2 linked regions of the Ovis aries genome follow. The protein of the gene in region 1 binds, or shares a complex with, the protein of each later gene. Links are inferred from orthologs where the notes say so. Each region holds a gene or a part of one and is shown in the gene's direction. Other genes may lie near its edges. The genes, in order: MICALL1 and EHD1.

Evidence for each region.
Region 2: the proteins of MICALL1 (region 1) and EHD1 are in contact, whole or in part, in an NMR structure (PDB 2KSP), measured with the Homo sapiens proteins. The link is inferred for Ovis aries from reciprocal best matches to the Homo sapiens genes MICALL1 and EHD1. Residues at the interface, in NP_203744.1 of Homo sapiens: Lys422, Tyr424, Asn425, Pro426, Phe427, Glu428, Glu429; in NP_001269373.1 of Homo sapiens: Gly464, Ala467, Lys468, Met471, Asn478, Leu481, Gly482, Trp485, Lys486, Lys492, Asp493, Gly494.

Annotation. Positions count from the first base shown.
Region 1 is NC_056056.1:215,564,390-215,568,607, forward strand, and holds the end of MICALL1 (MICAL-like protein 1), read left to right. Parts: intron 1-590; coding exon 591-705; intron 706-878; coding exon 879-925; intron 926-1,924; coding exon 1,925-2,046; 3' UTR 2,047-3,694; downstream 3,695-4,218. UniProt on the Homo sapiens protein: Lipid-binding protein with higher affinity for phosphatidic acid, a lipid enriched in recycling endosome membranes. On endosome membranes, acts as a downstream effector of Rab proteins recruiting cytosolic proteins to regulate membrane tubulation.
Region 2 is NC_056074.1:39,552,783-39,556,581, reverse strand, and holds part of EHD1 (EH domain-containing protein 1), read left to right. Parts: 5' UTR 1-2,622; coding exon 2,623-3,026; intron 3,027-3,799. UniProt on the Homo sapiens protein: ATP- and membrane-binding protein that controls membrane reorganization/tubulation upon ATP hydrolysis. In vitro causes vesiculation of endocytic membranes. Acts in early endocytic membrane fusion and membrane trafficking of recycling endosomes.

The DNA of each region.
Region 1 (4,218 bases):
AATCAGGAGATGGGGGCGGGGAGGGCAGCAGGTGTTTGAGATATCAGGGACACTTCCTGGCAGGTCTCCCAACCCCCAGGGTCCATTCTAGTCCCCCCTCCTTCCTGGCATTAGATGGGTGTCCGAGGATGCCTCTTGGGTCACGTTGCTTCTCCTGTATGTGCTCCCTGGGGTTCCCTGGTATCTCCCCACTCCCACCAGCCCGCCATTGGAAACTCTTAGCAGGCCCAGCCCTAATCCTGCCTCCCCCAAGAAACCACCTAGTGAACACTGGTTGCATGAACGCAACCAGGAAAACTGGTTTACATAAACAGGAAGCTCTTTGGGCCATGCTGCTCTCTTTTCGCAGAGCCTGCATTGTACTGGTCCTCTCAGAGCCCCCTGGGAGAGTCTCTTTGGTAGGCAGACTGGTATTCTTGGTCTCTTCTGCAACAACCTCCGTTTCTCCAAAAACTGTAATCCCCACCCATCTGGGCTTCTCCTTGTTCTCATGGTGTCCAGCGTGGGGCTGATTGGCAGTCACCCTTAGCACTTAGGTGTTGGTTCCTTGCTTCCTGGGCCTCATGTCCCCAGCTTTTCTCCTTGAGCAGAAAAGGACTGGACAGAGGAGGACCGGGGCCGAGAGAAGGTGCTGATGCAAGAGCTCGTGACCCTCATCGAGCAGCGCAACGCCATCGTCAACTGCCTGGACGAGGACCGGCAGAGGTGACTTGGCTGGGGACAGGGCTCCCAGGGCTTCCTTGGGGATGAGACCTTCACTGCCAACCATCTCAGCTCCCCCTTGCTCAGCCTGTGTGGACTCAGAGAGTCTGGAGGGGCCTGAGAGATTATCTGGCCCTTCCTCCTGTGGGACACTCAGCTTCCCTGTCTCATTTCAGGGAGGAAGAGGAAGATAAGATGTTGGAAGCCATGATCAAGAAGAAAGGTGAGGCCCCTCCTGGGGCTCTGGCCCGCTTGAACTCCTGCAGGGTGGGGGGGCCGGTTGAACACAGCGTTGGAAGGGGTACCCACAGGGACAGTGTGTGCAAGCCTTTTTTTTGCCAAGAAGGCCATGTGTAGCAAGGCAGGCCAACCTATGGCCAGGAAGATGGGTGTGGAATGCTGTGGTACCAACAGGGAGGGTGGTGGCGTATGGGGCCCTTTCCCAGGGTATGTCTGCCTTGAGCTGTGCATTCCTCCTTGAGATCCGCAGCTGGTTCAGGAGGGGTCTGTGGGTTCAAAGAGCAGTCCCCTAACTCCCGCCCTTGGAGAAGATGAGAGAGCACTGGACTGGGAGTCAGGAGGCCTGGGCCTAATCTTGGTTCCCTCAGTGATTCATTTTGTGGCCTTGCGGTTCCGTCTGGGCTCCAGTTAGACTGGAATCTGGTCCCAGCTCTGATGTGTCCCAGCTGGGTGGCTTTGTGCCAGCGCTTCACCCCTTCAGGCCTCACTCTCCTTGTCTGCAGGATGGGGGTGAACAGAGGCACCCACCTCCCGGGCGGGTACTGAGGATGACTGAGATAACCTGTATAAAGCAGTTAGCCATGGCCTGGCACCCACAAAAAGCTTGGCTGGTGGTAATCTGTTTCAAACTCACATTTTCCTTGTCCATAATAAGTGAGGGACTGGGCCAGATGACTTCTGCGGTTTCTTCTAGCTCTGACAGTCAGTGTTTGTGTTGTGAGCCACAGAGCTGTAGAGGAATAGAGGCTTTTCGAGATAAAACATCAGCCGTGCTCTAGGGCTCCCCCACTGCCTTCGTGTCCCGATGCCTACCGAAATGCTGGGAAGGGGTGGGGTCCCATCCTAGAGGTGCAGAACTGGAGACGCAAAAGGATGAAGGGACATGTCCATGGTTCCAGGCGATGTGGGGGTGGTGGTGGGCTGAGACTGTTGGCTGCCACTCCCTGGCCCGCCCCAATCGACTGCCCTTTCCCTTCTGCAGAGTTCCAGAAGGAGGCTGAGTCCGAGGGCAAGAAGAAGGGCAAGTTCAAGACCATGAAGGTGCTGAAGCTGCTAGGAAACAAGCGTGATACCAAGAGCAAGTGCCCCGGAGACAGGAGCTAACGGTGCAGACTGCCAGCTGGGGACACCACCCCTGCACTGGCTGCGCTCTGCGGGGCGGTGGGGGGAGCTTCTGTGTCCCTTCAGGATCAGTCAAGAGGAAAGATGACTTAGGGGAGGGAGCCTCTGGGTGATGGCCTCTCCCTCCTCAGGGTCTTCTGGCTGGTCTGGGCCAAAGAGTTTTTCTTCCCTCTCCTCTGAGCCCCCCGCCTGGCTCTCCTGACTCCAGATGCTGTGACCGACCCCAGGAGCGAGCAGGGTCTCGTCCCACAAGCCCCTGCCCTTGGTCCCGCTTCACTCCTGTACCTCGTGCGGAGGGGAGCAGAGGGTCTGTCTGCCTATGAGGGTCTGCCCGTGGTGGACCCTCTGGCCTGGGTCTCCTGCCCTCTGGGCAGGTCGGCAAGCCAGACTCGGCCACGCCGGCCCCTTCCCGCTACCTGCCGTCCTGGGTCTGAGTCCCTGTCATCCTGGCAGGGCAGGCAGCCTTGCCTCTCTCTCTCCGCACTCAGGAGCTCTATTTATGAAGTCTCTTAATTAAAGTTGGAGGTAGTTACTGTGTCCTCAAGACCTGAAGGGGCCTCATGGACAGACCCTTCCCTTTGTTCCTCGAAGTCTTAGGAGGTGCTTCCCTCACCTCCCCTCATTCTGCAGGAAGTCTCCCTGCCTGAGACAGGGTGCTGGGGCGGGTGGGGTGCCCGGGAGCTGAGCCCCCCAAGGGTGGGCCTCGGGGGAGGTGGGCGGGCCCCAGACCAGCAGCAGGCAGGCGTGCTGCCTGTAGGTGCTAACCCTGGCCCTCTACCCCACACCATGGCCCTGGCCCCTCCCGTGGGCTCTCGCCACCACCCCAGGGCTGGGGTGCGGCGGACCCGCCCCTGGTGGTCAGCACCAGCCTGTCTCCTCACAGGCGCCTGTTGTCTGTTCCCTCCTGACTCTGTTGCCTCCAAAGGACTGATGGCCGCTCACCCCCTGGGACGGCTGTGGGAGAGGAGGAGCCGATGGGGACCAGCACCTTCACCCCAGGGGACGTGCCCAGCAGCTCTTGGGGCAAAGCACTGTTGCTATAAGCTATTTCCAGGGTGCCTTTAGGGCCCTTCCCTCAGCACACCTCCAGGGAAAGATCACACTGTATTAACTTGAGAGGGTTTTCCTCACTGACAATAAACAGAGACCACCTCAGCTGCCAGTGCCTTGCAGCCCTGGGCCGCCCTCCGCTTACCAGGCCTCCCTTCTTCCCTGCCTCCGCCGTGCCTCTTGGCCGGCATCTCTGCTGGCCCAGGAGGGCGTGGAGGGGCTGTCCACCGCCGGGGGCCCTGGCCCCTCTCTCCCTGCCGCTGGGCAGGACGCCTTCCTCTGCCGGGACCAGTGCTGCCTCCGACCGTCTCCTTGCTGACAGGCCTGTTGGCCTGCCACGGGGGTCACCAGCTCCAGCGCCTTTCGGCTGGGTGAGCCCTGGCTGGGTGCGTCCTGCAGGGCGGCCCCGTCAGGCTGCCTTGGTGTCAGGACACCTGGGTGGCAGGGACTGGGGTGAACTGGGGTAGACACACCGCAACCACAGGGAGAGGTTGTCCCTCACCCAAGTCAACTGTAGCCTGTGGGATGTGGGCCCAATGGGACCAGATCTTTGCATTTTTCAAAAGAAACTGGAAATCCAGTGGAGCGTGTGTGTACTTTGTAAAACTGACTTGAACTGAAATCAAGGGTATGTCCTACCGTGTCAGAGTGGGCTGACTCTGGCCCGGGTTCTCCAGTTCACTGCCTCTGGGCCGCGTGTTGCGGCCTTCAAGGTAGAGGACGGCCGTCCTCCTCAGGTTGCGCCCTGAGCCCTTGGCTTCTTGAGGGACTGTGGACACAGGCTCCCCGTGGAATGTTCCAGAGCCCCAGCCCTTGAGCTGGTCCTCTCTGTTTTGTTTGTGGCTGCAGGACCATGTTGATTCTGCAAACCCCAACTGGGATCATGTGGCCTGAGAGGATTATATGAATCCCTCCAAGTGGGAGGCTTGGTTGAAATTTCTGAAATACTTTGATTTACGGGGACGGGAAAATGACAGGATACTGGAGAGCGTGAGGCCTGTGGTTGTCAGAGTTGTGGGGACTGCTGCATGCTGTGTGCCAGGCCTGGGATGCAACTCCTGTGGGCAGACATCTCAGCCCCCAGGCCTCAGAGGCGAGCTGCTG
Region 2 (3,799 bases), on another chromosome or scaffold:
ACAGGGTTTGGCAGGGGGTGTATGCGAATTTGAAGGAAGAAACACTGGGAGTGGGGGAATGGCCATCATTTCTGAGCAAAAGGAAAATATTTGAATTCTTCTTTACCCTTTTGTCAGGGAACCAGGCAAAAACAGAAAGTAAAACGGGAGAAACCAAAAGTGAAATGGTTCATTCATGTCTGATGAAACCTTCCCACCAAATAGAAACTAGCCTACAAAAAAATTAAAAAAGGAAAGAAAGTTAGGACATTTTCAGTCTGGGGCATCACTAGATACAGAAGCCGCCCAGGACCCAGGTGGCAACTCAGTGAAACTGGGCAAACTAATTTCCACACACTTGAGCCTCGTAAGGGAGAGAGATCCCTTCTTCCAATCCTTTGAGTCCTTGGAGAAAGTCAAGTGGCCATACATAACCAACAGGGGCTGGTTTCATTTATAAATAACCTGGGAACATTTTGTTTTCCGTTTTTTAGGACTGGGTTTTCCCAGCATACAAGGCTCTAGGGAGACGTGAAAATCATGACAGGTCAGTGTCAGAGCTACTGGGACAAGCTCGGGCACCCTCATCAGGCCATTAGACAACCACCTCTTTCAGGATCCTCCGCCTCAGGCCCTTCCCTGGAACACCCCAGAAGTCGCATCTCCGGGGCGGACCCCTCAAAGTACTATGAAGGAAGCAAGTCCTTTTGGCTTCTAAGGCTGGCCCCGGAAGTCTGGATGGGTGACAGCCCTGCCTAGGAGTCTCAATATCCTCTTTTGAGGAGAAAGCCAGAGTCTCGTGGTTTCTGTGTTTTACTGTGATTGATGAAAAGAATGCTAATGAAGTCCCAAATAAAAGCAGTTAAGTCAGAAAGCTAAGATTGCAGTCAGGGCTGGAATTACTCAGCCGCTCCCTAATGGGGTGAGGTGGGGGGGGGGGGGGGGGAAGGCAATCAATTTAATGTGGTTTATTCCCTCAGAAGACACTGAGACCTGATCCTACAAGGGGTGGGTGAGCAAAACTCCCATCTGGCCCCCTCTGGTTCCCACTTGACTCAGCTCCCCTGATATTCTGCTGATTCTCAGATTTGAGTTCCTGCATCTGTCCTTTTAGCCTGCCAGCCTGCTCTCTTCCCTGATAACAGGTGCCTGATAACAGGCACCCAGCCCTCCAGGTTCCCACATTTCCCAGCAGCCAGAAAGCTGGATGGGGGAGGCCTTCACGCTCCCAGGTGCATTTTAGATCTATCCAGGAGCGCCTCCCTCACCACCACCCCTGCCACTTTGGTGTCCTGGTACCGGTTACATAACAATCAGTCCCCAGAGCTCTGACATCACCCACTGAAGATTCTCACCAGCCTGGACAGCCAAGGGGACCTATGTGTGGCCCGGGATGATGGTGGGGGAATGAGCCTAAGGGAAGAGCCAGGAACTGGTAAGGGGAAGAAGCACAGGTCAGAGTAAAGCATGGTAACTGGTGGTGACCCAGAGAGGAAAGCGGAAGTATTTGGGTTTTTTAATTCCCCCTGGGTTCCCACAAGATTTCACTGTTGCCCCACGTTTCCCCTCCACCCTACATAGGGAATTTCTGATTAACTTCCTCAAAACTTGAAGTGCCAGAGGGCCTAACTTCTTCATCCCACTTCCCCACCCTCAGAAGCAGCCTCTTGAGGGAGGCGGTCTCTTCTCCCTCACGTGTTCTGTCATATGTGTCCTCCACTGCTAGCGTCCAGCTCCCAATTCCTGGCCTGTGGGGAGCTCAGGTCTCTTGCGACGGCTCAGACTTTCTCCACCAGCCTCCTCCCTTCCCATCTTTATTTCCCCAGTCACCACCCCGCCTTGGAGGGTCTACTCTCTCAGCTTTCTCCACTACCTCATTCCTGTCTCTCCCTCTCCCAGAGCAGATAAAAGACGAGGGGATGAGAAGCAGTGTCAGGGAAGCAGGGGCGAGAGGAGGCGGCAAGGAAGGGCAGTGCAGACAGGAGGCGCATGGCACCCGGGGTTCTCCCCTGCTTCTGGGGATTCTGAGTGGGAGGAGGAGGGCCGCCCATTGAGGGAGCTGCGGGTAGGGCGCGTATTCAGGGTACTGGGGTGTCCAACTGTGAATCTCGCGGGGGAGGAAGACGTGCAGACACTGGGACCTCCGCGCGCCGCACTCCGCCCAGTCGCCTTCGCGACCGCAGCACTTCCGCGAGCCGCCCCCGAAGGGGCGGGGCGAAACAGGTGCGGTTGCCACGGCACCCGGGCCAGGGCGGGGGGGGGCGGGGAGCGCAGCGGAGCTAGCGGAGCTCGCGAGATTTGCAATCGGCCAATGAGAGGCGGGGGAGGGGAAGACGTGGCGCGGAGCGCGCGGGCGGGGCTCCTTCTTCCCTCTCCCAGTTCCCTGCGACCCCGAGTGGCGGCGGCGCGCGCGTTCGAACGCGCGGCCGGGCCTTATAAAGAGCGCACGTCTAGGCGCGCGTTCCACTGTGCAGAAGGGCACTCGGCCGGCCGTGCCGTGCGCCTGCGCAGTGCGGGCCGCTCCCCGCCCCCCTGCCCCACCGCCCCTTCAGCCGGCCGGCCCGGCCCAGCCTCGACTCCGCGTCCTCGTCCGGCTCTCAGCCGCCCCTTTGCCCTGCAGCAGCCAGCCCGGTGTCCAGCAGCATGTTCAGCTGGGTCAGCAAGGATGCCCGCCGCAAGAAGGAGCCGGAGCTCTTCCAGACGGTGTCCGAGGGGCTGCGGCAGCTGTACGCGCAGAAGCTGCTGCCCCTGGAGGAGCACTACCGCTTCCACGAGTTCCACTCGCCCGCGCTGGAGGACGCCGACTTCGACAACAAGCCCATGGTGCTCCTCGTGGGCCAGTACAGCACGGGCAAGACCACCTTCATCCGGCACCTGATTGAGCAGGACTTCCCGGGGATGCGCATCGGGCCCGAGCCCACCACCGACTCTTTCATCGCGGTCATGCACGGCCCCACCGAGGGCGTGGTGCCCGGCAACGCGCTCGTCGTCGACCCGCGGCGGCCCTTCCGCAAGCTCAACGCCTTCGGCAACGCCTTCCTCAACAGGTAGCCCCCCCTCGACCCGGGATGTGGGGGAGGGGGCCGCCGGGGTCCCGACAGTCCAGTGACCGCTGCCCACGCTGTTCTTTGTCCGAAACCCCCGCGAGACCCCCTCAGCGACCACTCCCCGGAACTGGGTCCCCTGCCACTTTCCAAAGAAAACCCTTACCAAGGGGGTCTGCGAGTAGGTGTCGCCGGCTTCCGCAGCTCTGTCTCCCTCCGCTCCCCTCCCCCGAATTTCCCAGGTTATCGGTTTAACTCCCAACCCTCGACCCTGGCAGATCCCAGACTCCTCACATCCCTCAGCTAGTCTTGGTTTCCACCTCCTTCACTAAGGCTGGGCGCACCTAATTCATTGAGACCAATCTCCCTCACCCCCTCCCTTCAAGGGTCTGTTTCTTAAGTGTCCTGGAAAAATACAGTGAAACTTTTAGCCATTCACTTTGCTAGTGTGGTGTGCCTCCCTGGAGACTGGTGGTTTGTGGAGGAGGGACAGGGGAGATCTGCTGTGGCCTGCTGAGTTTGGGGCGGCCTGCAGAGGCAGCAGACAGAGGGGAGCACCAGCACTTCTTCTAGGGGCAGCTCTGAAGGGCCTGTGCTGCTGTAAAGGTTTCTGGGGTAAGGGTCTGTGTTGCCAGGCCATGGCCCCTGGAGCCCTGGAATCCCCTGTAAACTCCCTAGGATGTTCCCTAACCTACTTGGGCCTCTGTTTCCCAGTTCAATGGGTAAATGAGGGTAACCCTGTAAAGGTCTAACCTTCAGGACCCTATGAATGAAAT